Canis lupus familiaris: one gene and its partners. The protein of the gene in region 6 purifies or fractionates together with the protein of the main gene of each other region. This does not show direct contact. Links are inferred from orthologs where the notes say so. Each region holds a gene or a part of one and is shown on either strand. Other genes may lie near its edges. The genes, in order: CDK2AP1, MTA1, ZNF512B, SMARCB1, MTA3, CHD3 and HDAC1.

Region 1 (4,630 bases), on a different chromosome or scaffold from region 6:
GACCACTCCAAGATATCACACCTCTCTGGAAGGCCAGGCTGCTGAATGCAAGACCAGGGGAGGAGTATGCAGCCCTGCACAGCACCAAAGTGTCTAGGAGATTCCAGTTCCTAGGCAGGAGGGGAGCAGGACTCAGGAGTGCATTCCCTGCACCATCCTTAGCCCTCACCTCTTGTTGCTTGTCATGGTTTCTTGCCTCCCTGCCTCCCAGTCCCATCCATCTGAGCTCCTACAGACAAGGGCGTGGACCAGAAGGCGGTCTGGCTGTGCCACTCCTGGCTGTGTGACCTTGGATGAGGCCCTTCCCTCTCTGGGCCTCAGTTTCTCTATCTGTTTGGGGCAATGATTCCCAACACAATGTCTAAAGGCCTACATCCCACTCTTCCATGGGGCAAGGGTTAGGTCTTGCGAGGCCAAGGGAGAGGGAGGAGAAATCTCCTGGTTTGGGTCGGGTAATAGCTCGGGGCTTGCCTTTCCCATCACCATGTGATGTGGTAGGTGACCCCAATTCCGTGTCAGTGCCAGTCCCTTACTCTTTGTTGAAAAGGCGGGGGGGAGATGTGGCCCTGGAGAGAGATGGCAGAAGGGCCCTGAGTTCTACTCATGCCCACGCACTTCGGCAGACACAGGGAGGGCCAGAGCATGAGGCTGCAGGAGGCCAGGGAGAAAACCAGACTGGGCGTGAGCACGACAGTCTCTGAGCATCACAGACAATGCACGCAGTGTGCAGGGACCAGGGAGGGCCCGAGCCGAGGGAGGGATTGGCAGAGGCCAGCAGCTCCTGGGGCCAGGCGCAGCTCCCCGCCCCCACGCCAGACAAAGAGCGGCCTGGGCCTGGGGAGCTGGCGGCCTTCCCGCCACTTGGGGCGCCTGGGGGGGGGTGTGCTCTCCGGCGGGGAGGCGGGGGCTTTGTCTAACTCCGCCACTGCCACCGCCGGCCAGGCCGCGGCTTGGCAACCCGCGAGCAGGAGGCAGGGCTGGAGGGCGTGAGGGATGATGACAAGGAAGCCTGAGGAGCGGCAGCGCAGAGTCCATCTTGGATGCAAATGGCAGGGGGAGATTGGGGCTTTGTAAAGGGTCCGTGGGGAGGGGCACAGCCCCCCTCCAAAAAACCCACCAGCTTCTGGGGACCTCAGCAGTACTCCTGGAAATCACCATAGAAGAAAACCCATGCGCAGGTGCCAGCCAGCCAGAACAGGGCTTCAGGGGTCCTGAGTGGGTGCCCCTGTCACTTGACCCCAATCCCCAAAGGTCCCAGCGTAGGGCACCTGCCTCCACTATACCAGGCCAGGCCTGAGATCTCCAGCGTGTCCAGGCTGGCAGGAAGACCTTCCACTCTGCCCACCTCAGAGACAGATGAAGCAGGCAAGGAGAAATCCTACCTGGGCCACAAAGTCTGCCTCTCTGTAAGGTCTGCAGACCCCAAAGGAGGTGGTGAGAACATGTGAGAAAATAGTGGCTGTGTGTTCTTGGCACGCTGATCCCAAATTTAACGAATTCAACTATACCCTCACCGGCACCCTGAATCTTAACTCTTTCCAACCCCCAAATCTGTGTCCCAGTAAGTTAAAATACATACATTATATATATATATATATATATATATATACTTTTTTTTTTTTTTCTGGGTCCCTCTTCAGATTTTTGGGATTATGGAGTTACCGTTTGGAGACAAGGCCCAAAACTTGCGGCCAACTGCCAACGTGGCATTTCTGACCAGCAAGGCCAATCCCCTCCCCCACAAGGCCTCTCCCCTCCCCCTCCGGCGCGCTGGCTCCCTGGAAGTCTATTTCCAGCGCAGCGTCTGAGGCAGGGAGAGCCGGGCTAGGGGCGACGCCGGTCCCGCCTAACGTCGCCGTCTCGCGTCCCCCCGACGCAGGCCTCCCTGATCCCTGGGGCAGGCCCCTGGGCACGGATTGAAGCTGGCTGACAACTTCGGGAGGAGTTTCCTGGGCTCGCCGGGCTCCAGCCCCCGGGAAGGGAGAGGACGCCCCTGCAGCCCGGCTCCCGCGGAGGGGCTTCCAAGCCCAGAGGCGGGGGCTCCGGGGCGCGGGGTCTGGGCTGGAACGCGCCCGCCACTGCCCGCGGCGCCCGAGCCCCGGTGCCCTCAACTTCTGTCAGTCGGCGCGCGCTGAGGACCTCGGGCGGGCGGCGCTCTGGGCACGGCGGCGGCGGCGGCGGCGGCTGAGGCTGCGGCTGAGGCTGAGGCTGAGGCTGAGGCTGAGGCTGAGGCTGCGGCGCCCGAGCCCCCGCCGGCGACCGGGTCCCCCGCAGGCGCTGACCCCGGCGGCCCCGCGCCCTCAGGGCGCCCGCGGCCCGCAGCCCGCCCGCTCGCCGCCCCCGCCCCGCCCCCGCCCGGCCCCCGCCCGGCCGGGCCCCGCTCGCACGCCCCCGGCGGCCGCCCCCCGCCCGGGCCCGCGCCCCGCGCCCCGCTCCCCAAGGGCGCCCCGCGCCCCGCTCGCGGCGTGGCCCGGCTGCTCCCGACTCCCGCCGGCAGGGGCCCTCGCCGAGCCGCCCAGAGCCGGAGGAACAAGCAGAGAAAAGCCTCCCCCGCCCTCGCCCGCCGCGCTCCCCGCGAGCCCTCGGCCGCCGGCGTGGGGGGCCCCCGGCGCCCGCCCGCGCCCCCGGCCCCCGCCGAGCCCCGCCGCGGCCCCGGGCGCCCCCGCGAACTTTGGCGGCGCGGGCGCCGGGATCATGGCGGCGGCGGCCGCGCTGCCCCGGGCCGGGACCCGCCGCCCGGCGCCCCCGGCCGCCGCGGGCCCCCGAGCGCCGGGCCGGGCCGGGCGCGCCGGCCCCCAACTTGGCGGCACTCGGGGCGCGGCGCGCGGGCCGCGGGGCGCACTCACTCACCGGCGCTGAGGGAGGCGGCGGGCATGTGCGCGGCCAAGTTCGGTTTGTAAGACATCCCCGCGAGCGGCGGGGCGCGCAGGGGCGCCGGGGCCAGGCCCGCGGGGGCGGCGGCGAGGCGGCGGCGAGGCCGGGCGGCGGCGAGGCGGCCCCCGCGTCCGGGCGCCCGTCCGTGCTCCCGCCGCGCTCCCGCGCACTTTTTGTTGTTGACGGCTCGGGCCGCACCGGCAAATATGGCCGTCCCTCACCCTGACACCGCTGCAGTATATCACCCATACATCGGGCGGGCGGGCGCAGGGGCGGCCGCAAACTTTGAGCGGAGCCAGCGGGGCCGGCCCGGGCCGGGAGGGGGCGGCCCGGCGTCAGGGGGCGGCTCCGCCCGCGGCCGCGCCCCGCGCCTCGGGCCGCGCTCGGCGCCCGCAACTTGGCAAAGTTTGGGGGGCTGGGTCCGGCGGCGCCCGCGGCCCTCGTGGGCCCTTCCTCGGGGCTCTGCGCCCGCGGACTCGCCGTCTCACCGCTTCGTCCCTTGCCCCCTCTCTCTTCTGAATGGCCAGGTGGGGTTTCAGAATCACTTTTTTTCCCCCTGGACTGTGGGGGCAGGGATGGAAAAGTACCTGGAGAAAATGGTGGCGACTGGTATTTTTGAGCACGTAGATCATTCCAGATGCCGAGGTCTGGCCAGTCCCCAGAATAAGAACAACCAATGCTCGGCATGGATTTCAAATAAATTTCGTGTCCCTGTCTGGATTAAGCGGGTTTTGGTGGTGGTGGTGGTGGTGGCGGTTGTTGTTGTTGTTGTTGTTGTGTTTGTTTCTTTTTTTTAACCCCTCGGGGGCCTACGAGGCTCCTTAGAGATTTACAAAAGCCAAAGGCCTCTTCCCTGGAAAATTAATTCACTCTTGTATCCACGGAACTCTACCTCTTAACTCCTTCAGATATGTAAGAAGCTACTACTTCGTGCCTGGCACCCGTCCAGGCGCCAAGGATAGGAGAATGAACTTGACCAAGTTTCTACTCTCCTGATGTTTGCATTACAATTTTTTTAAAAAAAAGATTTTATGTATTCATGAGAGTCTCGGAGAGGCAGAGACATAGGCAGAGGGAGAAGCAGGCTCCCAGCTGCCCGCGCGGGATGCGGGACTCCATCCCAGGACTCTGGGATCACCACCTGAGCAGAAGGCAGATGCTCAACCACTGAGCCACCCAGGTGCTACCCCCGCCCCCTGCCTTTTTTAAAGATTTTATTTATTTGAGAGAGAGCACAAGTGGGGGGGGGGGAGGAGCAGAGGGAGAGTGACAGGCAGACTGCTGAGTGCGGAGCTCAATGTGCAGCTCCGTCTCACAACCCTGAAATCATGGCCTGAGTGGAAACCAAGAGTTGGCCACTCAACTGGCTGAGCCATCCCAGAGCCTAGCATTACAATTTTCTATGCTCCTTCCACCCCCACCCCTCCCGCCCATCCTCAGGTCTGACTGAGACATATCAGCAAATATATGACTTTGATTAGATGACTAAGCTTTTGAAGGTAACTTTTCTTGGAGTTCCACTTAAATAGTAAAGCTTGTCAAAATACAAAAGATATGGGGGATCCCTGGGTGGCTCAGCAGTTTGGCACCTGCCTTCGGCCCAGGGTGTGATCCCGGGGTGCGGGGATCAAGTCCCACATTGGGCTCCCTGCGTGGACCCCGATTCTCCCTCTGCCTGTGTCTCTGCCTCTCATTCTCTCTGTCTCTCATGAATAAATAAAATAGAATAAAGGAAGTACAGGTGATAAACCCCTTC
Region 2 (4,495 bases), on a different chromosome or scaffold from region 6:
GGCCGGGGCACGTCTGACCGGGGAGGGGCGCTCGGCGGACCTGAGCCCTCCAGCGGTGCACCCTCCTCCTGGCCCGCCAGCCAGGTCCCCCTGTTGACCTGCGTCCCTCCCCCAGGCCTTGCTCGCTCAGGACCAGAACCTGGTGGACGTCCGGACGCTGGAAAGGCCACAGCCCCTGGGCCCCACCTTCCAGCACCCCTGGGGTGGATCAAGGCCTCTGTCGCACCGCTGGGCAGACCTCAGCGCCAGGGGCCTGGTTCCCCATCAGAACTGGAAGCAGCCACGGGGGCACCTGGTCAGGCGGCCGCCTCTCAATTTCAGCCCAGGTCGTGACCTCAGGGTCACGGGGCCGCGCCCCACGGGCTCCCTGCTCAGCGGGGGTCTGCGCGGGGCTCCCCGCTGGCGCCCTCCTTGGAACCACAGGGGCTGGAGCAAGCAGTCGGTGCCCCTGCCCCGCCGGCCCCCGGGGAGGCCGCCAGCGCCCAGACGCCTTCCAGGACCTCCGAAGAGCTCAGCAGACACGAGAGAGGTGGGGGGGCGGGGAGCGCCGGGTGACCAGCCGGGAGCTCAGGGGCCGCAGCCAGCTGCCGCCCCCGCCCTGCGCCAGAGCTGCGCCCAGACGAGCCCCGACTTCCGGGGACTTGACCCTCGGGGCCGTTTCTCCTGTGCCCAAGGGGCCCTGGGGGCCTGGGGGCTCCGGGCAGGGTGGCCCCAGCAGGGAAGGGCCCACAAAACGAGCTCCCAGCGGCCCCAGCCGGGACTGCCCCGGGTCCCCGGGCAGCAGGGGAGGCGGGCTGCGGGGGCCAGAGGGTCCCTCCCGCCCCACCCCAGTACTGAAGGGGGCTGCAGGCTCACACGCAGACGCCCATCGACCCCACCCCGAGCGCTCCAATGGCGGGCTGTGGCCACTGCCGTGCAGACCCGTCACCTGCAGGCTGCCACAGGTGGTGCCACCTGCCCTCTCCACGTCACAGCCAAAGCGAGGGGCAGGGGCTGTGCTGGCCCCACCCGAGACCCACTGCCCGCGGCCAGCCCAGCAGTGGGCCCCCGGCTCCCCCGCCACGCTCCCCACCGCTCACTGGAGTCGCGGGCCCGACCCCATGTGTTCCCGAGCCGATGCCCACCCCGTGCCCTGCTGGCCCTGCTGCCCGGGCGGGCCGTGGGCAGCTTCCCCCAGCAAGCACCCGCGGGAGGTGGCCCCACAGCGTCCTGGTCACTGCCCTCGCCCTGCCGCGTCCAGACCTGGCCCAGCCTCCCAGGAGCTGCCAGGCTGCAAGGACCAGCCCCACACGCTGTGTGCAGCGGAGGCCTGGGGGCACCCCCTCCCCCGGGCAGATGCTGCGCAGGAGTCTCGGGAACGGGGGCACAGGGGTCGGGGCTCGGCTGCCACCAGTCTGCTCCGTGGAGCACCAGCACCCCGACCTCCGCCCCCAGCCCGCCGGTCCCAAGGATGCCCAGCCACGCTGCCGTGCTCGGGGTCCAGGAGAGCAGCCCTTGAGGACTGGCCTCACGGAGCACAGCCAGTCGGGGACAACAGGTGCTCCGGGGCCAGGGACTCCACGGCCGCAGGGACACTCCTGCCTCTCCCCAGTGCTGCCGGGGGCGCCTCAGAGCGGGAGGCTGGCGGGAGGGGGGGCGGCTGCGAGGGCCCAGAGCGGGGCGGCAGGGGCCTGAGTGAGCCGGGAAGAGGCAGAGGCAGCAGGTGGGCGGGGAGACCCCGGCCAGGGGGACCCCACAGGGCGCCCCTGTCCCACAGAGCACACCCGCCACAGGGACCCCACGGAGAGCTCTCCAAGGAGAAGGACCCAGGTGTAGGCGTGTGGCACGGGAACAAAGCCACCGAAGGGTCTGGGGCCGGCCCTGAAGCCCCGGGCGGCCCCCCCCCACCACGCGCCCCCCCCCATGCACGTACCTTGTTGAGCTCCTCGATCCTGCGAATCAGGTACGGGTTGCTGGAGGAGTTCTCAAAATAGACGTAGTCTGCAAACAGGAACAGAGTGCGTCACCCCGCAGCACTGAGCCCGGGGACCAGGGGAGCCCCGACCCCCCTCACACCCGCGCCCAGTTCTAGGGGCCAGGGAACAGGAGGGAACGAAGGACACGGTGCCCCTGCCACCTTAGTGCACAGACAGGTACCCAGACATGTTGGTGGGTGCCGGGCACGGGTCCTAGAGGACGGAGGGGGCTGTCCCGGGCAGAGGGTCCACACGCCCCGCCCCCTGCCCCGCGCAGACGCTGTGGGAGCCGGACTGCAGCTTCCCCCAGGACAGCTTCCGAGGGGCTGCCGGGCGCCTGCACCTGCCCCCCCACCCCACGCGCCCCGGGCAGGGAACGGAGGAGGCCGGGGCTCCCTGGGCAGAGGCAGGGCTCTCGGGGGTGCGGACGGGGTCAGGTGCCAGAGGAACGAGGTCCCGCCACCGCCCGCCAGGTCCCCAGCACACCATGTGGGCACCAGCTCGCCTCCGGCTCCAGAGCAGCCTGGGATCGGTCCCCAGGAGGCTGGCAGGCACCCGGGATTTCCCAAGAGGCCCACGGGGGCGGCTGGCCGGCTCCCACGGAGCCCAGGCCAGCCGGGAGGCCACCCAGCTGCCAGCCTGGCCGCCGCCGTGATATAGCAGGTAGCTCGGGGCAGCTGCGGGTGACTCGGTGCCAGGACGAGGCCAGGCTGCAGTCCCCAGCAGGGGTGCCCCGCGCTGTCCCCCGTGCCCCAGGGAAGGCCTGCAAGAGGCCCGTGTCAGCCGGGACACAGCCAAAGGGCCACTCGGAGCACAGATCTTGCCCCAGGACCCAGGCCAGCTCCGTCCTCTCAAGAGGTCCTACCGCTCCACCGTGTGGAGAGGCCCCAGCAAGCATCTGGCACCTGCTGCTGCTGTGTACCTGCTGCAGGCACCTGAGGGGGCTCACCTGTGCTTGGGGGGGGGCGCTCACCTGTGCTGCAGAGGAGAGCTCACCTATGCTGCAGGGAGATGGGGGCGCTCACCTATGCTGCTGCGGGAGGCTCACCCGTGCTGCAGGAGAGGCTCACTATGCTGGGGGGTCCTCACCTATACTGTAGGAGGGAGCGCACCTGTGCTGCTGGGGGGGGCTCACCTGTGCTGCCCGAGGCCACAGCCGGATGGGACGCGGCCATGGGCACCCACAGAGCTCCACGGAACGAAAGAGCAACAGCACTAACAGCCCAGAGGGAACAGGGCTGCCGGGCTCAGAGGGCCACGCTCGCGGGCTGGGGGGGAAGAGAGCTCTACGGGAGGGGGCCATCGACGGGCTCGAGGTCGGCTTGACGGCAGTGGAAACACTCTGAACACAGACCGCGGCCACACCGTACGCCTCGTGAGCGGGTGAATTTTATCACACGTGAATTGTCGCTCAAAAGAGCAGTTTTAATATAAAGCCCTATTGGTCTTAAAGCTTTCATCCAAAGAAACCAAAAAACCAATTAAATCAAAGCTGTCGGGGATCCCTGGGTGGCTCAGCGGTTTAGCGCTGCCTTTGGCCCCGGGCGTGGTCCTGGAGCCCCGGGATCGAGTCCTGCATCGGGCTCCCTGCGTGGAGCCTGCTTCTCCCTCTGTGTCTGTCCCTCTCTGTGTCTCTCATGAATAAATAAGTAAAAAATCTATTTTAAAAAAAAATAAGTAAATAAACCAAAGCTGTTATTCACATGCAGTCTACACTGGACACGACCCAGGAGGAGCCCCACCGGCCCTGCATGCGGCTCTGAGGATCCCTGCTCAGGCAGGGGGCTGGGGGGCACGGGGCTGCGTCCCAGCCGCCAGTTGCACCCCTGCATGTGCTCCCCACAATTCAGACCTGCACGCCTGAGACGGGTGGGTTAAGCTTTGGTAGATGGGAAAACACGCAAAGCAAAAAGATGGTAGATGATGAGCAAAAACCAGCATAATGAGGAAAAATGAACTCGTGTAAACAGCCAGTAAGGGGATCAACCTCAGGCCAGGGTGACAAAGGAAAGACCCGGAGGGTGAGTGAGCGAGAGCTGGGTAGGAGGGGGCTCCCGGCGCCGCTGCCTGACGGCTCAGGTGACACGGGGCCCGCGCTGGGCAGACGCAGACCCCCGAGCTCCCTGCAGACAAACAGGCAACCCTGTGCCCTAAAGAAATCAGGCTCGGGCAGCCCGGGGGGCTCAGCGGCTTAGCTCCACCTTCAGCCCAGGGCGTGATCCCGGGGACCTGGAATCGAGTCCCACGTCGGGCTCCCTGCGTGGAGCCTGCTTCTCCCTCTGCCTGGGTCTCTGCCTCTCTCTGTGTCTCTCATGAATAAATTAAATAAAATCTTAAAAAAAAAAAAAATCAGGCTCAGGGGCACCGTGGTGGGCTGAGAGTCTGCCTTTGGCTCAGGTCACGATCCTGGGGCCCCGGGGTCAAGCCCCACGTCGGGGTCCACGCTCAGCCTGGAGCCTGCTTCTGCTTCTCTCTCCCTTTCCCTCTCCCTGTGTTCTCTCTCTCTTTATTTTTATTTCTTTTTAATTTTTTTTTTATTT
Region 3 (3,891 bases), on a different chromosome or scaffold from region 6:
GTGCAGCTGCAGGACGCTCTCAAGTGCCAGCACTGTCGGAAACAGTTCAAATCCAAGGCGGGACTCAACTACCACACCATGGCTGAACACAGCGCCAAGGTACACCCAGACCCACCGACCCCTGCCTCCTAGTCCGTCCCCCCACCCTCCCTCCCCTGACCACTGACCTTTCATCGCCACGTGGCAGCAGAGCTCGCTGGCTTCCGTGGTGACCTTGGACATCTCAGGCCCTGACCCCGGGGCAGGGGCCGGGGCCCTGTGGTGGTGGGGATACTAAGGCTGGGCCTGCCCCCCAGCCCTCTGACGCTGAGGCCTCGGAGGGGAGTGAACAGGAGGAGCGGGAGCGGCTGCGCAAGGTGCTGAAGCAGATGGGGAGGCTGCGCTGCCCCCAGGAGGTCAGTGGGACGGCCGGGGGCGGGGCTCGCGTGGGATGAGCCGCAGCAGCCCCCCGGCTGGCCACTCACCCAAGCCCGACCCCAGGGCTGCGGGGCCGCCTTCTCCAGCCTCATGGGCTACCAGTACCACCAGCGACGCTGTGGGAAGCCTCCCTGTGAGGTGGACAGCCCCTCCTTCCCCTGCACCCACTGCGGAAAGACTTACCGCTCCAAGGCCGGACACGACTACCACATGCGCTCGGAGCACACGGCCCCGGTGAGCAGCCCGGGGCCTGGGTCCTCCTGTCCCTTGGGCCCAAGCCTGTGTGTCTCGTGCCACCTGCCGTGCGCACTCTCCCTTCTTTCCTGGGGGCCACAGGCGTGGGGACTCGGGAGCCTTGGACCCCGGGGCCTCTGTGTTTGCGCCTCGCGGCCCATGCCCTTGTGCCTGTGCGCCTGCGCTCCATGCCCCGTGGCCCCTGCTGCTCACCCTGGCCCCTCTGCTCTGCAGCCACCCGAGGAGCCTGAAGACAAGCCCCCCGAAACGGAGGACCTGCTGGGGGTTGAGCGGACTCCCAGTGGCCGCATCCGCCGCACGTCGGCCCAGGTGGCCGTGTTCCACCTTCAGGAGATTGCAGAGGATGAACTGGCTCGAGACTGGACTAAGCGGCGGGTGAAGGATGACCTGGTACCCGAGACTGCCCGGGTGAGCTGCCGCCGGGTCCCCGACTCCCGTGTCTGAGCAGGACGTGGTTTAGCTCAGGGTCTCCCCTGTGATGGCCCTGCCCCTGTGACCTGGGCCGTTGGCTGACCTTCCAGGTCCAAATCCCCATTTGCGGAGGGCACAGCCGAGGTGCTCAGAGCCGCTGGGGCTATCCGGCCTCAGCTCTGACCTGGCGCTCGGGGCCCCCGTTACATAGGCCCACGGGGCTCACGCTGGTGTGCGTCTGTTCTTGTAGCTCAACTACACTCGGCCAGGCCTCCCCACGCTCAACCCCCAGCTTCTGGAAGCATGGAAGAATGAAGTCAAGGAGAAAGGCCATGTCAACTGCCCCAATGATGTGAGTTTTGGGGTGGGCTGGTGGGGCGGTGTGAGGGCACTGGGATTCAAGGACAGAGAGCCCAGGTGTGACCCTGGGTAGGAGGAGGCTTCCAAGTGACCAGCTCACCTGTGACCTGCAGGGCCCTTAGATGGAACCCCATGACCTTAGCCCTAGAGGTCCAGCCTGCCCACAGCTCAGGCTTCCTGGGGCCGAGCCCTGCACTTAGCCCAGAGAAGCCCCACATCCCCCCGGGTGAGGGGTGCGTGTGCATTCGTGCGGGGGCATCTCCTGGGAGGCGCTCTCCCATGGCTGCCTCCTGTCCCCAGTGCTGTGAAGCCATCTACTCCAGTGTGTCCGGCCTTAAGGCTCATCTCGCCAGCTGCAGCAAGGTCAGTGCCCTGGCCCGTTCCCGTGGTGGGTTGGGTGCTCGGCACTCCTAGCCAACCCCTAGAGGTCCCCACACATTGGATGTGTGACCCTACCCCCGTGGGGCAGCCTCCTCCATGAGCCCAGGGACCGCCCAGCGCCTGGTGGCCAGCCCTGCCCAGGACACTCCCGCTCAAAGTTGTTCCGTCCACAGGGGCTCCTTGTCCATGTGGGTGTGAGCACTAACTTGGGCTTGGGGTGAGGGGCTGTGCCCTGGAGCACTTGCCTCTTCTCATTCTCTCCTTATCCGTCACCTTTCCTTAATGGTGGCAACTCAGAGGTCCTGCCACAGAGAAGCTGTGTGGGTCCTTGAAGCCCATCCCCATGAGCTGTGGCTTCCCCGACCCTATAGCTACACAGGTGCAGGAGGAGGGGCAGGTGCCCTGGTTGGGTCTGATGCTTCTGGTCCTGCAAGGATTGGGGGTGGGGTCCAATGTCTGGTGGCCGGCCTGGCCCATGCTTTGCAGGGAGACCACCTGGTGGGGAAGTATTGCTGTCTGCTGTGCCCGAAGGAGTTCAGCTCTGAGAGTGGCGTCAAATATCACATCCTCAAGACCCATGCGGAGGTGGGATGGGCTGGGGGCCTTGCTGGGCCTGGGGCAGATGGGCTGACCCCACAGCGGGGAATGGGCCAGGGTGGGAGTGGCGGAGTAGTCACTTGTGTGGCCTTTGAGGGAGCAGCCAAGGTTAGGAGAGCTGGTGGTTTCCCTTGAGAGCGGCTGCTGGCTTCCCTGGAGGAGCAGAGAAGCCTGGGTGCCCTACCCCCGTGCCCTGCCCGGGCGGCACGCTTCACGTGGGTGCCCTGTCGCTCAGCCGCCTGAGCCATCTGTCTGGCCCCAGGACTCAGCACTCTCCTGTCCCCGGGTCTTCATTGTGGTTTCTTTCCTTTCCAGAACTGGTTTCGAACTTCTGCAGACCCACTTCCCAAACATAGGAGCCAGGACTCGCTGGCACCCAAGAAGGAGGAGAAGAAGAGCCTGGCGGGTGGGAAGAAGCGAGGCCGAAAGCCCAAGGAGCGGACCCCTGAGGAGCCTGCACCCAAGATGCCCCCCCGTCGGGATGACTGGCCCCCAGGAGGCAGAGACAAGGGGGCGCGGGGCTCCACTGGCCGGAAGGCGGGAGCCAGCAAGGCTCCTGAGAAGTGAGCGTGGTGGCTGGCAGGTGGGTGGGGCCCGGTCCCCACGCTGGACGCCAGGTCCACTGCTGAGGGGGGTAGCTGGCTCCAGGACCTCCTGCCCTCTGGGTCTCCACCCCACACCCACCTGTTCACCTGCCCGGTGGAGGCAGCCAGCCCCTCTCTCTTTCCCGAGGATGGCCCTTCCCCCGTGCAGGCTGTGTAGGGCACACGTGGCGGGGTCCCTTAGGGGAGGGCCCGTGGCAGCCACAGAAGTGCAATAGCGTGGAGGGGCGCTCACGGGCTCGGCAGGGTCTGGGGCCCTGGACGGGCAGGAGGAGGGTCTGCAGCCCAGGCCTCGGTGCCGCAGGGCAGCGCAGGGCGGGCAGGTGGCCTTCACCGTGTGAGCTCCGTGCCCCGTCTGCTTTCTCAGGCCCAAGGCTTGGGGGGTCCTTGGTGACCCGCGGTTCTGGGCTGATGAGGGCACCTGAGCAGCCTCACCTCTCCACCCGACACTGGACCCCAGCACCCCCAGCTACCTCCCAGGACAGGCCCCGAGGCTGACTGCTGCCGTGCTGACCTGACGGCCTGCCCCACCGTGGCCTCCCTCGTCCTTCCGCCTCCGGTTCCTCTGCTTCTGTTCTCTACCTCTCCAGGCCCTCCCCCTACCTGTGCAACCCCTGCTGCGCTTGGGCTCCCGCCCGCTGGCCCCTGGGCACCATGCTGGGTGGGGGTGGCCCTGTTAGCAGGGCACTCCGCCATCCCACGCCCGTGGGTGCTCCCTGCCTGGGACAGGGGGAGGGTCCTGCCCTCACCTGCAGGGCTGCAGGAGGGGGGCCGGGGGCCATGTGGAACACAGCTTTGCCCCCAGTCTCTGGCTTTGTTGCCACCACGGGTCTGGGTCGGGGCAGCCCAGTGGGTTGGGGATGGGCCA
Region 4 (3,891 bases), on a different chromosome or scaffold from region 6:
CTCCAGCCCCAGCCCTGCCTCCTCACTCTTGCCACCTGTGCACTTCCTGAAATGCCCTTCCCATTCCAGCTCTTCCCCTACTCCCGCCCCCAGTGAGCCCCAACCCAGGACTTAAGGTTCCACTCCAGGGTTTGCTCCCCTGGGAAGTCTCCTCACTCGCATTCCTCACAGAAAGGGTAGGGCTTCCATGGAGTCATGCCTAGCACATTCCGTGTTATACTGGGACTCATGCACTCCTGTGACTGCGGCCTCTCTGCACCCTTCCTGTAAGCCAGGTGCCTCTGAATGGATGCCATGGGAGCCTGAGGAGTACACGTGCAGAATCTGGGGTGCTGGGGGGTCACCACGGACCACTGGAGCCTGCCAGGGGTGCAGTGGGTTTCCACAGACCGTGACTTGGAATCTGATGGCCAGTATTGGGCTCCAAGACTGAGCAGGGACATTTCTCGCATCTCCCCAGGGAACAGAAAGCCAAGAGGAACAGCCAGTGGGTGCCCACCCTGCCCAATAGCTCCCACCATCTGGATGCTGTGCCCTGCTCCACGACCATCAACAGGAACCGCATGGGCCGGGACAAGAAGAGAACCTTCCCTCTGTGGTGAGCGTGCCTCACTCTCTGCTGATGCCGCCTTAATTTTACCCTCTTCCCTGCCTTGACTTTATGTTCCCCCAAACACTATGCTGCCTTCTCGAGACTGTTCCCTGTCGGCTTTGGGGACAGCCAGTCTCTGGCTTTTGCTCTGGCTTGCTCCAGCTTGCTCTGCCTTGCTCTGCCTGCTTCAGCCTCGCTGCTCTTGCCTGTTTCCCCAACGCCTCCAGGTTCTCACAGTTCTGGGGACAGGAGTTCAGTGCAGCAAAATCAAGGTGTCAGCCGGACCCTGCTCCCTCTGGAGGCTGGGGGGGAAGGCTCTTCCTGCCTCTTCTGGCCTCTGGTGGCTGCCAGCATTCCCTGGCTTGTGGCTGCATCACCAGTTTGTGCCTCAGTGGGTCACAGGGCCGCTTCCTCTATGTGTAATATTGCCCGGTCTTCTCCCAAAAGGACGCTTATGATGTGATTTAGGGCTACTTGCATAACCTTCTCCTCTTAAGATCCTTAATTATATTTGCAGAGTCCCCCCCACCACCGCTACCACCATATAATGGTCACAGGTTCCAGGGATTAGGACTAAATTTCTTTTGGGGGGCATTTTCAAGTTCACCCCCACTTTTATCTCTGCAGCCTGCCCTCACCTCTACACACTATCCTCAGGTATCTGTCACACACTGCTTGCCAACTTTTTGAGTCTAGGACACAGTCCTCCCTCCTTCCTGCCCTCAGGCCAAAACCCCAGAACTCTTCTCCTGCACACTCCTGCCTTCTTAGCCTTCCAAGTGTCCGGAATTGGACCGCCTTTGGCCAGCTCCCCCTCAGATGTGGGCTCCCTCGCCCAGGCCTGGAGTCCTCATAGTGGCCGCCCCCGTCTGGTTTCCTCTCTTACCGCCCTCACCCTGCGTCAGGCACATGAGCCTCCTCACTGCCTTCAGAGCCACCCAGAAGCTTCTGTAGTTCCCTCGGCCGAGAGCTCATTCCTTGCCAACACCTGCACCGCTGACCCCTTCTCCCTCTTCCTTCCCTTTCTCCCTTTCCTTCCCATCAGTGTTTGAATGTCACCTCTCAGAGCTGCCTACCCCTCTTTAGAATGGCCACTCCTGTCTCTGTCTCCTGTCGCTTTCCCTGTCATGTTTCCCAGAGCACTGCTGTCTGGCATACAGTGTGTTTTCCTCATGTTTGTCATCTCTGCCACCCCACCCCCCACCCCCACCCCCACCCCCGCCGAGCAATTCTCAGCCCTCCGTATTCCGCAGACACCCTTAGGTTCCCAGTGCCCTCCTGCATACCCCTGCCCCCCTCACCACCCCAGCCTCTTTCCTCTGTGTCTTCCTGAAATACAGATATGACTGCATAACTGCCTTGCTCTGGGTTCTCCTGGAGCTCCCTCGGGGTAGAGGCTGGATTCCATAGCCTGAGATGGAGAAGCATGGGTACTTGGACACGTGTAGCTTCTCTGTGTCCCCGACAGTGCTCCTTCCCTCCTCCCAACCTGCATCCCACCCTCAGTGCTCTGGCTCTTGCTCCCCAACAGCTCCTCACCACTCCTGCCCCTTGGATTTGGTTAAGTATTTCCTCTTCTGAAAATACTCTTCCAAAAAAGAAAAAAAAGAAAAGAAAATACCCTTCCTTACCTACAGTTTTCTGTGAAAGTTCTACCTGCTTTGGGGCTTAAATCTCGCTTCCTCTGGGGTACGTCTAGGTCATACCCCACTGCCCAAGGCCGTAGCTCCCTCTCCTTCCCTGAGTGTCCTTGAAGCCTGGAACTCTGCTCCTGTGGCTGCAGGACCCCTGCTTGCCTGGTCTCCCCGCTGGCTCAGCCCTTAGTTAACAAGTCACCATAAGAAGTGGGTTTCTCCCTCTGGCCGAGTTAGCAGTGACAGTAGTGCAAAGAGGGAGGGAGGCCCTGAGCGTGGAGACCCATGGCACCCCTTGCTGACTTTGCTGCCACTTCACTTCCAGCTTTGATGACCACGACCCAGCTGTGATCCATGAAAATGCATCCCAGCCTGAGGTGCTGGTCCCCATCCGGCTGGACATGGAGATCGATGGCCAGAAGCTGCGAGATGCCTTTACATGGAACATGAATGGTATGTGGGAGATTGGGGTCTGCGCAGCCCAGGCCCAGCTGAAGTGTGAACAGTCCTTTTTCTTGCCTCCTGCCTGTTGGGATCCTGGACTCTGAACACGACATTCAGAGCTTTGTGGCATAGATTGTTAGGGTGTGGACTCTGGGTTCAGATCCTGCTTCTGCCCCCATTTCCTGTGGGTTGGGCATGTGAGCCTCAGATTCCTTCCTCTCCTAGCGAGCTTGGGCAGGTCAGGGGCCAGTCAGGATGCAGCCTCTCTATCCAATGAGCTCACGATGACTTTGCTGCTACTCAGATCAGATCAACGCATGGCCCTCTACCCACCTCGCATTAGCTCTGTCCAACCCTCTAATCTGTCATGATGCCGTGTGTGCACGTGTCATACCTCTCTCATCCCAGTGAGGTCTACCCTCCCTTTGTCTGTTCTTCCTTTTCCCATTCTCACTCTGTAAGTCCTGGGTCAGATGCCTGCTCTTCCTGGTTCCCAGACCCTGAGCATGACTTCATGCTCAAGAGAGCATACTCTTCATGAGCAAGAGAAAGCGTAGGAGACATTTTCTTTTTTTATTTTTTTTCTAAAGATTTTGTCTATTCGTGAGAGACACAGAGAGAGAGGGGAAGAGACACAGGCAGAGGGAGAAGCAGGCTCCGTGCAGGGAGCCCAATGTGGGACTCAATCCCGGGTCTCTAGGATCACACACTGGGCTGAAGGTGGCACTAAACCGCTGGGCCACCTGGGCTGCCCAGGAGACATTTTTCAGAGTGTTTTGTCCTTATCCCATTCAGGAAGGAGGATTGCATATGTGTTTATTTTTTCTTTATTGTTTTCCTGAATCAGACTTTTTAAAACAGATTATTTATATTCAGACCAAAACCAAAGAACAGCAATGAAAAAAGCCCCAGTGAGTATAATTTTTAAATGAAGTTGAGAATCTCCAGAATCTCAGCGTTCCTAATAATAGTTTCCCTGCCAGTCATTTGGCACGTGCAAAGATATTTAACAGAGTTGTAATTATAGTGCAAGTATAATTTTATTTTTCTTCACTTATAAGTATCCTCCTGGTTTCTTTGGTCTTCATAATTGGCACACAATTTTCTGTTGAGTTGTAGTGCCTTCTTTTGCTAAAACTCCTTCTGCTATTAGACATTCCCATGGCAGAGAATATAATCGTTTACAACTTTTTTCTCCCAGAGGGGATTTCCTCAAGGAGG
Region 5 (3,891 bases), on a different chromosome or scaffold from region 6:
TCTTAAATCAAAATGGAACATCTCATAACGCAAAATTTCTTTTCTCACAAAGAAAAAACATCTACTAAATGTCTATAAGATTTCCTCTCTGTTAAGCCAGACAGCAAGTTTTCTCCTTTAGGGGAGAAAGTTGCATGGCTCTAACATGGCAGTCAGGGATGTGACTAAACGTAGCAAGACTAGAATCAGAGCTGGCACACAAAGTATGGACACATTTTAGGGGTACATGGTAATAACAGAACAACCCACAATTCACTGATACATATGACCTTTGTTCTAACAACAACAAAAAAATGAAACATAAGCCAAGACTGAACATGTTGAAAATGAGAGTAATAATTATGTATATGTTATGCGGTAATATATGTATGATAATGAAATGGAAACCAAATTAGACAAATAGAAAGAATGCTCAACCATAAATTTGGTCATTAGCCTGTAAGAACTAAATATGTATTTTCAGAAAATTCACCCAAAGACACTAAAATCCATTTATAATTTGCTCCATTTTCCAGTTACTGTAGTGTTTGTTATGAAGCACTCTGAATTTCCATAATATTGTAGAATTATAAAAGGTTCATGGGAAAATGAGAGGTTTACAAAGACATGCAATTTCTAATTAGTGTAAATTGGCAAATTTTATTCAAACCTAATGAAGGCACGTAAGAGCAGATTGAATGTCTCATCTATGGGGCTTCACTGTGACACCATCCTTAGGGGTTACATCTCGGCATGACCTTACAGGTGAAAGTGCCTTCCCATAAGGGTTCTCGGGCAGTCCCATCACAAGACCTCTCTGAATAAGGGCGCCTCCCACCAATTCTCTGCTGAGTACTATGCTCTCTGCAGAGGGGCTGCAGAGGTTCCAGTGTTTCCTTTTCAGGTTGGCATGATACAAATGGCAGCAGACAAAAACAATGTTAAAAAAAATAAACCAAATAAAAGGCTGTACACAAGAACTTATGTTTATTGCAAACAAAAACGAAACAAAACAAAAAAAAAAACAAAAAAGAGAGGGAAGGAGAGAAAATGGTCAGAAGCACAACACATAAGGTTAAGAATTTAAAAGCATCTTACATTCTGCCCTAATGGCAGCATAATTAATAGGAACAAACGGCCGTCTTGCTGCCTGCCGCAGCCGGAGGGTATTTTTGCAGACCTGACGAGCAAATTTTGTGAAATATGTAGTGTGGAGGAAGAAAGCTTGGCGGGTCTTCACTGCAGACTTTGGGCTCCCAGTGTTTCGGACTGGCATCCCCTGCATGGCCTGGCGAGACATGTGACTCCTAACACGGGGGTCCTGCAAAATCAGATACCAACAGACATGTAAAGAAAAGAATGCTATTTGTATCAGGCTCAAAGAAAAGGCAATTTTTAAGTTTTCCACTGAAGCATCTAGAAGTTAATACCCTACTCCCAAAGAAGAAATTAGAAGTATGCACTTTCGGAAAGAGGGTAGGGGAGTAGAGAAGGTAACTGTGTAGGGGTAGGAGGATGTGTGATCCTATATTTTTGTTTTTCAAAGTTTTTATTTTACTTCCAGGTAGTTAACATACAGTGTTATACTAGTTTCAGGTATACAATATAGTAACTCAATACTTCCATCCATCACCACCCTGTGCTCATCACAAGTGCACTCCTTCCTATGCTTTGGTTTTTAAATGGACATTGACCTTAAGAATCCAAAATCACATTTAAAAAAAAAATGCCAAGGGGGTTAATGAAATTATCTTATTTTTTAATAGTGCTGGAGTCCTGAGATCCTGTTAGCCCTTAAAAAGAAGTCTCCCTCTGGTCGACACAGGTGCTTATATCTGCAATCTGAGAATTTTACCAAAATCCTATTTCAACTGTTTATCTCAAGATTGAGTCCATATCACCTTCTTGTTCCTCCTATGATAGCTCAGGGACAGAAAAATGTTCAGTTTATGTTTATTACTTTATGTAGTAAGGCATATTTTTACAGTATTTAAAGGTTGCAAACTGTTTCCCAAAAAGCAATTAAATCATTTAATTTGTAAGCTCTCTACTTATGTTAACACTTCCCACACATATTGTTCTTTTGTCTGAGCAATCACACAAGAACAATATTTTGAATACCTGAAAAAATTTGATTTGTCCCTGCCCTCTCTCCACACCCACCTTAAATATTATGGTGCTATGTTTAGTTATAAAAAAACAGCTTTGTTCGCTTTTATTTTTTGCTTTTAAGTTATCCTGTACTGTACTTCTGTTTCCAAGGAGTGATCAAGCCATTAAAATGACATTTCTCAACGTCAAAGACTATTGCTCATATACCTCTGTAGTTGGGCTAGGAGATAACTTCTCTTCTTCCGACTGGGTGGGCATTTTCAGGCCTCCATATTTTTTCCAGTAGAGCCAACAGGTTGCACACAATCTACACTGCATATTAGGTGGGCCCCAAGAATACCACTGATGAGACTGTGTAGCTAAAGACAGAGGAAAAATATGAAAAGACAAAGTGTTATATAATTTGTAACATCAATACATATACCATCAAATATTTTAAAGATATTCCAAAGTAATCTTTAGTTTATAATGTTATTTTTCTTTCTGCAGTTCACCAAACATAAAAGTCTAATATACATGTATTTTCAAGATGCAGGGTTCATTAAACCATTTCTCTCTCTCTCTCTCTCATAGTGAACGAGAGAGCAAGAGAGCAAACCTGTGGCTCCTGTTAAGAGAAGCTATTAGATGAAGTATCTTATATAATATGCTGTGCTATTACTGAGGGAGTTTTGTTCATTAAAAATACCCCCTATTGTGTACATTTCTGTAAATAAGTTATCAGAAAGTTTTTTTTTAAATTTTATTTATTTATTCATGAGAGAGAGAGAAAGAGAGAGGCAGAGACACAGGCAGAGGGAGAAGCAGGCCCCATGCAGGAAGCCCGATGCCGGACCCGATCCCGGGACTCCAGGATCATGCCCTGGGCTGAAGGCAGCGCTAAACCGCTGAGCCACCCGGGCTGCCCCAGAAAGGTATTATTATTATTATATGAGTGTTTTAAGTCTAAATCTCCAAATTGATGGTCCAGAAACTACCCCAGAGTTTAAGGTGCTCAGAGAGGCCCCACTGATTAAGGTAGGAATCTGTCAGAAATAGATAAATGAACAAAGTAATCATTTTAGTATTTCTCCCTTTAAAAACAGAATCCCTTTCAAGACTATTTAAGTCCAGATCAAGGGAGCATATGCAGCCAAGATCACAAAAGGCTTAAGACCTAATAACTTGGCTGATTTACCACTTAACACTGCAAGCCTTCATCAGTTTTGCTGCAGTTTGAATTGCTCCCATATTGCATTTAAAGTTTTCCTACAATGGATCTGAAGTTTAAGATAGGAAATGATGGCATAAAACATTAAGTTAATGAGGTATGTATAAATTATTATAATCTGTATATTTCCCTTGGAATACTCTTCCCCCTGATTTATAAGTTAACTTCGTCAGGTCAAAGTGTTCAAAGAGCACATCAAGGTGTCAACTAACACTTCACAAGCCAATGTCAAAAAGAGAAAATATACTGGCCATTATAATCAAACTGCATCTTAGTTTGAGAATAATACTGTGCACCCATCGTGTATTATTTTTGGTAGACTCCTTGCTAACAGCAGCCCCCAAAACTTTCCTTTTATAATTTAAAACAGTAAGTCAAATAAGTTGATTTTTTTTAAACACAATTTTAAGAATCTTAAGTATTAGGCATGGACCTAGTTTGGATTATGACTATAAAATTTCACTCATGGGATGCCTAGGTGGCTCAGCAGTTGAGCATCTATCTGCCTTTGGCCTGGGGCATGATCCTGGAATCCGGGATCGAGTTCCACATTGAGTTTCCTGCATGGAGCCTGCTTCTCCTTCTGCCTG
Region 6 (4,467 bases):
CCTGGCGCGCCGGGCTGCGGGCGGGGGAGAGGCGGGCGGAGCCGGGCCCAGGCCGCGCCTCCCGCCCGCCCCGCTCTCCCTCTAATCTCACCATCAATCTCTCACACATATATTTATTTTTTCTCAAATTCCCCTCCCTCCCCCACCACGCACCACCATAATAGGTCTGCTGCACATGCGTACTGCAGGCAGGGGGTGGGTTTGTATTTTCAGACCTTTTGCAAAGAAACTACCAGAATTTTCCGCACCACCCACAATCATTCCCCACCCCCACCCCCAAGGAATCACATCTATATATTATGTTATATTATTTCTCGAGACTTGCCAGAAGGGGGAGGGAGAAGAAATGAGTTTTTGGCTTCCTGCTCCCTTCCCCCACCAACATGAGTGCTATTATTTTAAACGTTTTACAACGTAAGGAGCCGAGAAGGGGGGGAGGGATAAAATTGGTCTTGGGTAAGAATGTAAAACAAAATGGTGAGAATCAAAGCAGTCAGGATGAAAAACAATAGACCTCTAATATGTGCGAATTCATATTCTGGAGAAGGATGAGGGAGGGCAGCCCGCACACATTTCCTTCTAGGAGGCTTATTTTGCCCACACCTAGGTAGACAGAAATAACGAGCGGACCAAAAATATTTTTCTCAAAGTTTTGCCTCAGAAAGTCCGGGGGGGGGGTAGTGCATCTGGGTCACTCTGTTGACTTGGGAGGGCCTCAAGACTGGGGGAGGGGGGGTACGATCGCCCTGGAAGAGGGAGGAGGTGGGTTTTCATTTCAGATACAAATTTTTTTAAAAACATTTGACGTTTCTTCTGGGCTGTTGAGAGAGCAGAGGGGAAGTGGGGAGGGAGGACTGACACAAAAGACCCAACCTCGACCTCAGATTCTTTCATGCCCCTCTCTTACATTCCCAAATCTCAGACCAAAAACGCATAAACACCACATTCCAAGTTGGCCCTACAAATAGGTGAGAACTGTCCGCGGGGCAACACAACCTGACATCCTTTCTCTCCCTCTTTTTAGCACATCAGCTGGGTTCCAGGCACCCCCTCCCCACCATCCTTTATTCCTCCTCCCTCCTGAAACCTCGTGGGTTCTCTGGGATAACTTTCTGAAAACTTTTCTCTTTTTCAGACAAGCTTGGGGAGGGGAGGTGTCCCCGTTTCCATCAGACACGTACCCTCCACCACCCTCACCCCAAGAAGGTACCCCATACTCCTCAAAGGCTGTCTCAACCGAACAGGAACAGTTGCCACATAAGCCACACAGATCAATGTGACAGTTTTACAAAGATAGACGTCCTGAAGTTTGATGCATTCGTGCTACAGGGCTCCCAGAGGCCTGGGGGTGTGGATGTCCCCTTTCCAGCCCCAAAGATGCGAGCACCGTAAGGATGCTCCCCTGTCCTCCAGAAGATCGGCAGTCACTGCATTAGGAGGGTGGTCTGAGGGGGGCCGTTGCTGCCGCCCCCCCTCCACTCCAGGCAGCAGGCTGTCCCAGTCCCTTCCAGCCCTGGTGGAACTGCCCAGAGAGCGCCAGAGGACTTGTCATCCCGGGGGAGGGGTGCCGAGTGACGGTCAAGCTGCAGAACAGCTGGGTGGGCAGTGCACGCCCCCCCATTCCCCGGCATGATCAAGGTGCGGGTGGTTTCAGCGAGAGTGACAGTGAATGGCAGCCACGTGAGAGTCACAGCTGGGCAGCTCGGCCACCCCAGACTGACGGGGTCACACGGCGGGGGGGGGGGGGGAGGGGGCTCGCACTTGACACAAAAGAGCCTGGAGCAGGGTGCTGATAAAGGGGGTGGAGTTGGGGGCATCTGGTCACAGACACTCTCCCCGCGCTCCCCAACCTTCAAGGAGTGCTCTCCCGATTAGGACGGGGGGGGGGGAGGGGGCGCCCTGAGGCGGATTAAGCGTGAGTCCAGGAAGTGGTCTGCGTGGAGTGCGGCCACCACCTGCCCCCCATCACCCGCCGCCCGCAGGCGCTCACGCGACCTCTCCCCCACGCGCCACCGCGCGCCCCGGGGAGTCGGCGGGCGCCCAGGTTCCCGAAGGTGGGGGGTCCCAGGGACGCTGGCCCCCACCCCCACCCCCGCCTCCCCCGCCCCTGAGGGGGGGCGGTGAGGCCCGCGGTCCGCTCCACGCGCGGAAACTCCCCGTCACCTCAGTGCAACCCCACTCGGGCGGGAGCCCGAGGGGCGCCCGCGCGGCCGCCCCTCCCCCACGCGCCCCTCCTCCACGCCGCCGTCCGGCCGCCAGGGTCTCCGCGGTCCCTCGCTCGGCCAGGGAGGGGGCCCTGGCTTCGCCGCGGCCGTTTCCTGCCTACCCCCTCCCAGCCGAGGGTAAAAAAAAAAAAAATCTCCTCCTCCTCCTCCCCCGAAAGCCGCGACCGAGTGGCCCGGTCCGCGCGCGCAGCTCGCGCCCAGCGCTCTCCAGCCCGGGCGGCGGCGACGGCGGCGGCGGTGGCGGCGGCTGCGGCGGCGGCGGCGGGGGAGGGGTGCGGCGGGGGAGGGGAAGAGGCCTGGCCCCGCGGCCGCCGCCGCCGCCCGCCGCCCGCCGGCCCGGCCCGCCCGGGGCCCCGGGCCCGACGCTGGCGCCCCGCGCCCCCGGATTCACCTCGGCTCGGCCGCGCGGTGGGTGCCTCGCCCCCGGCCGGCCTCGCGCGCCCGCGGCTCCCGCTCGGGCCGGGGGGTGGGGGGCGGGGGGAGAGCTTCGGGGCGGCCGCTTACCTGGCGGCGGGGGCGGCGGCGGCGGCGGGGGCAGCGGCGGCGGCGGCGGCGGCGGGAAGAGGTGGCAGCCGGGGGGGCTGTGGCGGTCGCGGCCCCGGTCGTGGCCCGGCCCGCGCCCGAGCACTCCCTCGTCGTCGTCCTCCTCGTAGTCCTCGTCGGCCGCCTCCACCTCCTCCTCCTCCTCGTCGCCCTCTTCTTCCTCCTCTTCTTCCTCCTCCGACACCACCATCTCCTCCTCCTCCTCCTCCTCGTCCCTCAGAGGGGAAGCCATCCTGTGGCTCTGGCCCCCCCACCACCCCCCCACCCACCGCCCGCCCGCCTCCCCCACCGCTACCACCACCACCTCCTCCTCCTCCTCCTCCTCCTCCTCCTCCTCCTCCTCCTCGGCGGCGTCCTCCTCCTCCTCCCCACCGCCTCCCCCAGCCCCCCAAACCCCCGGGCCACCCCCCTCCAGAACCCCCCCTCGGGGCCGCCGGCTGAAGAGGGGGGCCGAACCACCCCCAAAAATTGTCTTGGAAAAAATTGAGAGACTTTCCCCCCCTCCCCTTCCTCCCAAGAGAACGAGAAAGGGGGATTAAAAAATATATATATATATAAAAGTTTTCGACTTCTCTCTGCCCCCCTCTCCGTTGCTTTAAATATATTTAAATTCTGAGGGGGGCGCTCAGAAATATTTCTCAGAGCTGAGGCAGTAAGATGGCCGCCTTGAAATTATTTTTAAAACAACCCCCCCCCAAGCACCGCCACCCCCTCCATGAAGAAAGGGAGAGGGGGGAAAAATCCCCTTTTAAAACAAAATGGCTGGCTTAATATTTCAGTTTTCACCCCCCCATTCTCCTCCCTGTTACACCCCCATCTCCTAGCCTCTACCCAGAAACCCACAAATTTCTCCCTTTTTTCATAACTGATTAGTGCACAGATTAATAGAGATATTTTCCTTGTGTACTGTGTGTGTGTGAGTGTGTGTGAGTGTGCGCGTTGGGGGGGCACGAAGGGTTTCTGCATAAAACAAAAATGGCTGCTCTTTCTAACTCCCCCCCCATAAAAATATTTGAGGGGGGGCATTAATCAGTACTCATGCTCAGTCTGACATCAGCATAAATTGTTAAAGGTTAACTAGTTAGATACTAGTCCAACTAGATTTAAATATTTTTCTTTTCTTTACTAGTCTCTTCCTCCCCACCTCCCTTCTCTTAAAGAAAAGCTTTTTTTTTTTTTTTCTGAATACTTCAGAAGGGAGTGGTTTGATGTGAAGGTTTTTTTTTTTCCCCTTCAGGCATTGAAAAGGAAAAGATGAAATATATGTTTATATATAACTCTTGTTTCTACATACCTCGCTGGAGTCAAAACGCATTTAATTGTGTACGTACCGTCCAAGTGAGGCACGGGGCTGGATTTTTCCCCCCTTTCTTTTAAAAAAAAGTGACAGAAATCCTAGTGACTTTTGGGGGGAAGAGATATGAATAGATACGATGATTGAGGTTTTTTTTTTTCTTCAAAGGAGTCCATGTTTGATTCTCCCCTTTGCCCAGGCTTTTCAGTGATTTATAATTGTTGTAAATTTTATCTGCACTCTTTTCTGATTTACTCGCTCCCCCCTTACCCGACCCCGCCTCCCCCGATTGCCTCGACTAGAAAATTCATCTGACTTGGGAAATGAATTTAGGGGGCCAGGAGTACAGATTTTTAGAATAAAGGGGAGTCAAGTCTGAAAAATTGTGAAATTGTCTCCTCTTTT
Region 7 (2,917 bases), on a different chromosome or scaffold from region 6:
CTTGACTCCTATCTCCTGCCCCAATTAGAGCTTCCGTACAATGACTACTTTGAATACTTTGGACCAGATTTCAAACTTCACATCAGTCCTTCCAATATGACCAACCAGAATACCAATGAATACCTGGAGAAGATCAAGTGAGTATATCCCCATGCACCCCCTGATTGAACATTCCAGGCTCTGGTTTGTCCCTAACCAGAGCCCAGCCACCCTCTCTACCATTGGCCATAGACAGCGACTGTTTGAGAACCTGAGAATGCTGCCCCACGCACCTGGGGTCCAAATGCAGGTGATTCCTGAGGATGCCATTCCAGAGGAGAGTGGCGACGAGGACGAAGAAGACCCTGACAAGCGCATCTCTAGTAAGACCCAGATCCGGGGGCGGTACCTTCCCGTTCAGTAGGTAGCTCTGGCTTCCCACCCCTGTTCTTGGTTCCATGTTCCTCCTAAGCTACTCATCTGTTGAGAAACCCATGTTCTAGTTCTTGGGACAATTTAGGGAGTCTGAGTTTCCTTCCCCTCTTCTTAGTCACCCCCTTCCCTTGGTGTCTCTTGGAGGACACACAGGGAAGCACTGGGCACAGACCTTGAGGTAAAGCTGATCTCCTGCTGTCTCACTTACATTTCCCATTGCCTCCCAGTCTGTTCATCTGACAAACGAATTGCCTGTGAGGAAGAGTTCTCGGACTCTGATGAGGAGGGAGAAGGTGGTCGTAAGAACTCTTCCAACTTCAAAAAAGCCAAGAGAGTCAAAACTGAGGACGAAAAAGAGAAAGACCCAGAAGAGAAGAAAGGTGGGTTTGGGTCATGCCCAGACTTGGGTCTTGAGCCCCAGGCCCCAGAGGAGGATGAATGTATGTAGGGCTCTAGGAGGGAGCTGACTCAGGCCCTGCCTTCTGTTGGGGTTCTGCCTCCACCCCCAGAAACAGCAGGACCCACAAAAGAATGAAATTCAATTTGTTATCTGCACTGGCCGGTTGAGCCCTGCCAGGCTCCAGAGCCAGGGACATGCCTAGTCTCCCCATGGTCAGGAGTGTGGCTCTCACACACCACCCAAGCCCCTTTCCCAGTGCTTCACCCCAGGTTCCCAGGGGGCTGCCCCCGCCCACCGGGTTCAGGCACTAGCAGGCTGGGAAACCGGTCCAACCTGTTTGTTCTCTGCAGGGCTCAAGGGGGAGGGCCTGGGATGGGCTTTTCTCTTTTGTATGTCCAGTGAGCTGTGTTGGGGAAGGGGGTTCAGCCTAAGTGAAGATTCCATGGGTCTTTCTGGAGGGGAGCCTTGGCCATCCCTGCACTCTTATGTTCTAGAAGTCACAGAAGAGGAGAAAACCAAGGAGGAGAAGCAAGAAGCCAAAGGGTGAGGAAGGAGCTGTCGGCCATCTCCCTGGCATTGGAGCACCAGCCCCTTTGTCCGCCCTGCCGAGGGAGGCGCAGGGACAGCTGGTGCAGCTTACAAAGACCTCTTTCAGGGACCAGTCTGTCTGTCTCTGCAGTTCTAGGCAGAGCTAGGAAGCCCCAGCCCTCGGCAGTCACCTGGGCAGCTGGGGTCCTATAGAAGTCATTGTCCCCGTATTTTTGCCTCCAGGCCTCTGGGGCACGTTATCTCATGCCAGTCTCTGCTCTCTCCACAGGGTCAAGGAGGAGGTCAAGTTGGCCTGAGCAGACCTCTCCAGTTCTGGTTTCCTGCCAAGTTCCCCACCTTTCTCCCACAACCCCTCAGATTTTATATTTTCTATTTCTCTGTGTATTTATATAAAAATATATTAAATATAAATATCCCCAGGGACTAGACAGGAACCAGGGCCCTGAGCCTAGGGCACACATTATGAGTGAGCTTTTCTAGTGGCTGCCTCGCCACCCATCCTTCCCCAGTTCTTAATTTTGAACCATAAAGGGTACCGGTTCTGGAAGGCATGCTTTTAAGCAGCCATAGGACAAAATCCAGAAATGCCAAGTGCCTGCTTCGTAGCTTTGGAAAGGTGCCCTCATTGAGCATTCTAGGAGTGGCTGGGTCTTCTGGGACCCTCCCATCAGGCTCCTTAAGGTAACATCAGCCATTTTTAGATTGGTTCTCTTATCATACCTTCCCACTGGCCCCATGTGAGCCAAGGAACTCACTGCCTGCCCTCTATCCTTGCCCAGTTCTGCAGGTGGAGATTGATAAGTCAGGTATCCTTTTTTGAGATACTATTTTCATTTTCATGAGAATCTTTGTAATAAAATGGTACATTTCTACATCCTCCTGAGCTTGTCTCCTAGCAGTATCCCTGGGTTGATTTCAACTCCACTTCCCTGCCCTTCTCGTGTCCAGGAGAATCTGGGCAACTCCATGAACAAGGAAACAACCCCACAAACTTAACCTTCACCCTAATCCCTCCCACAAGGGTTGAGGTTAACCGATCTTCTCACCCTACCCCCAGAAGACCACTCATTAAAAAGCACTACTAAAGGGACGACATTTATTCCTTTTCCAAATGTTACAGTAAAACCAGGTGGAAGAGAATGGTTTTAGCAGTTAGAAAAAAAAAAAAAAGTACAAATCTGGGGTTTGGCCATTAAAAGTTATTTACAACAATGGGAGGGGGAAAAAAAAAGACAACAAGAAGTTGTTTCACATTACAGACCTCCCCCCCACCCCAAAGCCTAATACTTGCTTACCAAGTCAAAAAAGAGACACAGTCGATTCACAAGCTGGAGGTTTGAACTTGAGTAAGACATTTATAAAAACCTAGACAGGGGCAGTGTCCTCCCCAGCCCAGGTGCCACTAGGCACAGCACAAGAGACTAAAAACTCAACAGAGGGGAAGGCTGGACACTCGGGTTTGGGAGTGTAGGCACCCCACATCTGGCTCAGGGATTTGGGGAGTAAACAAAACCTACTTGGAAAAGAACTGGGGAAGAAAACCAGCAATTGCCT

Evidence for each region.
Region 1: the proteins of CHD3 (region 6) and CDK2AP1 purify together in Homo sapiens (affinity purification with mass spectrometry; 6 studies listed by BioGRID and IntAct, with this or other methods). This does not show direct contact. The link is inferred for Canis lupus familiaris from reciprocal best matches to the Homo sapiens genes CHD3 and CDK2AP1.
Region 2: the proteins of CHD3 (region 6) and MTA1 purify together in Homo sapiens (affinity purification with western blotting; 7 studies listed by BioGRID and IntAct, with this or other methods). This does not show direct contact. The link is inferred for Canis lupus familiaris from reciprocal best matches to the Homo sapiens genes CHD3 and MTA1.
Region 3: the proteins of CHD3 (region 6) and ZNF512B purify together in Homo sapiens (affinity purification with mass spectrometry; 3 studies listed by BioGRID and IntAct, with this or other methods). This does not show direct contact. The link is inferred for Canis lupus familiaris from reciprocal best matches to the Homo sapiens genes CHD3 and ZNF512B.
Region 4: the proteins of CHD3 (region 6) and SMARCB1 purify together in Homo sapiens (affinity purification with mass spectrometry; 3 studies listed by BioGRID, with this or other methods). This does not show direct contact. The link is inferred for Canis lupus familiaris from reciprocal best matches to the Homo sapiens genes CHD3 and SMARCB1.
Region 5: the proteins of CHD3 (region 6) and MTA3 purify together in Homo sapiens (affinity purification with mass spectrometry; 4 studies listed by BioGRID and IntAct, with this or other methods). This does not show direct contact. The link is inferred for Canis lupus familiaris from reciprocal best matches to the Homo sapiens genes CHD3 and MTA3.
Region 7: the proteins of CHD3 (region 6) and HDAC1 purify together in Homo sapiens (affinity purification with mass spectrometry; 14 studies listed by BioGRID and IntAct, counting the BioPlex papers as one, with this or other methods). This does not show direct contact. The link is inferred for Canis lupus familiaris from reciprocal best matches to the Homo sapiens genes CHD3 and HDAC1.

What each region holds. Positions count from the first base shown.
Region 1 is NC_049247.1:6,510,257-6,514,886, reverse strand, and holds the start of CDK2AP1 (cyclin-dependent kinase 2-associated protein 1), read right to left. Parts: upstream 3,120-4,630; 5' UTR 2,906-3,119; coding exon 2,851-2,905; intron 1-2,850. UniProt on the Homo sapiens protein: Inhibitor of cyclin-dependent kinase CDK2. Also acts as a component of the histone deacetylase NuRD complex which participates in the remodeling of chromatin.
Region 2 is NC_049229.1:73,159,747-73,164,241, reverse strand, and holds the start of MTA1 (metastasis-associated protein MTA1), read right to left. Parts: upstream 2,997-4,495; 5' UTR 2,854-2,996; coding exon 2,442-2,853; intron 1,981-2,441; coding exon 1,913-1,980; intron 1-1,912. UniProt on the Homo sapiens protein: Transcriptional coregulator which can act as both a transcriptional corepressor and coactivator. Acts as a component of the histone deacetylase NuRD complex which participates in the remodeling of chromatin.
Region 3 is NC_049245.1:48,272,567-48,276,457, reverse strand, and holds part of ZNF512B (zinc finger protein 512B), read left to right. Parts: intron 1-6; coding exon 7-99; intron 100-296; coding exon 297-395; intron 396-480; coding exon 481-651; intron 652-885; coding exon 886-1,080; intron 1,081-1,333; coding exon 1,334-1,435; intron 1,436-1,743; coding exon 1,744-1,806; intron 1,807-2,310; coding exon 2,311-2,409; intron 2,410-2,736; coding exon 2,737-2,984; coding exon of another isoform or gene 2,985-2,988; exon of another isoform or gene 2,989-3,390; coding exon 3,391-3,448; 3' UTR 3,449-3,891. UniProt on the Homo sapiens protein: Involved in transcriptional regulation by repressing gene expression. Associates with the nucleosome remodeling and histone deacetylase (NuRD) complex, which promotes transcriptional repression by histone deacetylation and nucleosome remodeling.
Region 4 is NC_049247.1:28,807,155-28,811,045, reverse strand, and holds part of SMARCB1 (SWI/SNF-related matrix-associated actin-dependent regulator of chromatin subfamily B member 1), read left to right. Parts: intron 1-460; coding exon 461-598; intron 599-2,551; coding exon 2,552-2,679; intron 2,680-3,891.
Region 5 is NC_049238.1:34,445,667-34,449,557, reverse strand, and holds part of MTA3 (metastasis-associated protein MTA3), read right to left. Parts: intron 2,451-3,891; coding exon 2,299-2,450; intron 1,301-2,298; coding exon 1,078-1,300; coding exon of another isoform or gene 1,055-1,077; exon of another isoform or gene 948-1,054; intron 1-947. UniProt on the Homo sapiens protein: Acts as a component of the histone deacetylase NuRD complex which participates in the remodeling of chromatin.
Region 6 is NC_049226.1:32,947,472-32,951,938, reverse strand, and holds the start of CHD3 (chromodomain-helicase-DNA-binding protein 3), read right to left. Parts: upstream 3,026-4,467; 5' UTR 3,001-3,025; coding exon 2,730-3,000; intron 2,634-2,729; exon of another isoform or gene 2,552-2,633; intron 1-2,551.
Region 7 is NC_049223.1:68,298,337-68,301,253, reverse strand, and holds the end of HDAC1 (histone deacetylase 1), read left to right. Parts: intron 1-28; coding exon 29-137; intron 138-231; coding exon 232-362; intron 363-641; coding exon 642-794; intron 795-1,308; coding exon 1,309-1,357; intron 1,358-1,631; coding exon 1,632-1,659; 3' UTR 1,660-2,246; downstream 2,247-2,917. UniProt on the Homo sapiens protein: Histone deacetylase that catalyzes the deacetylation of lysine residues on the N-terminal part of the core histones (H2A, H2B, H3 and H4).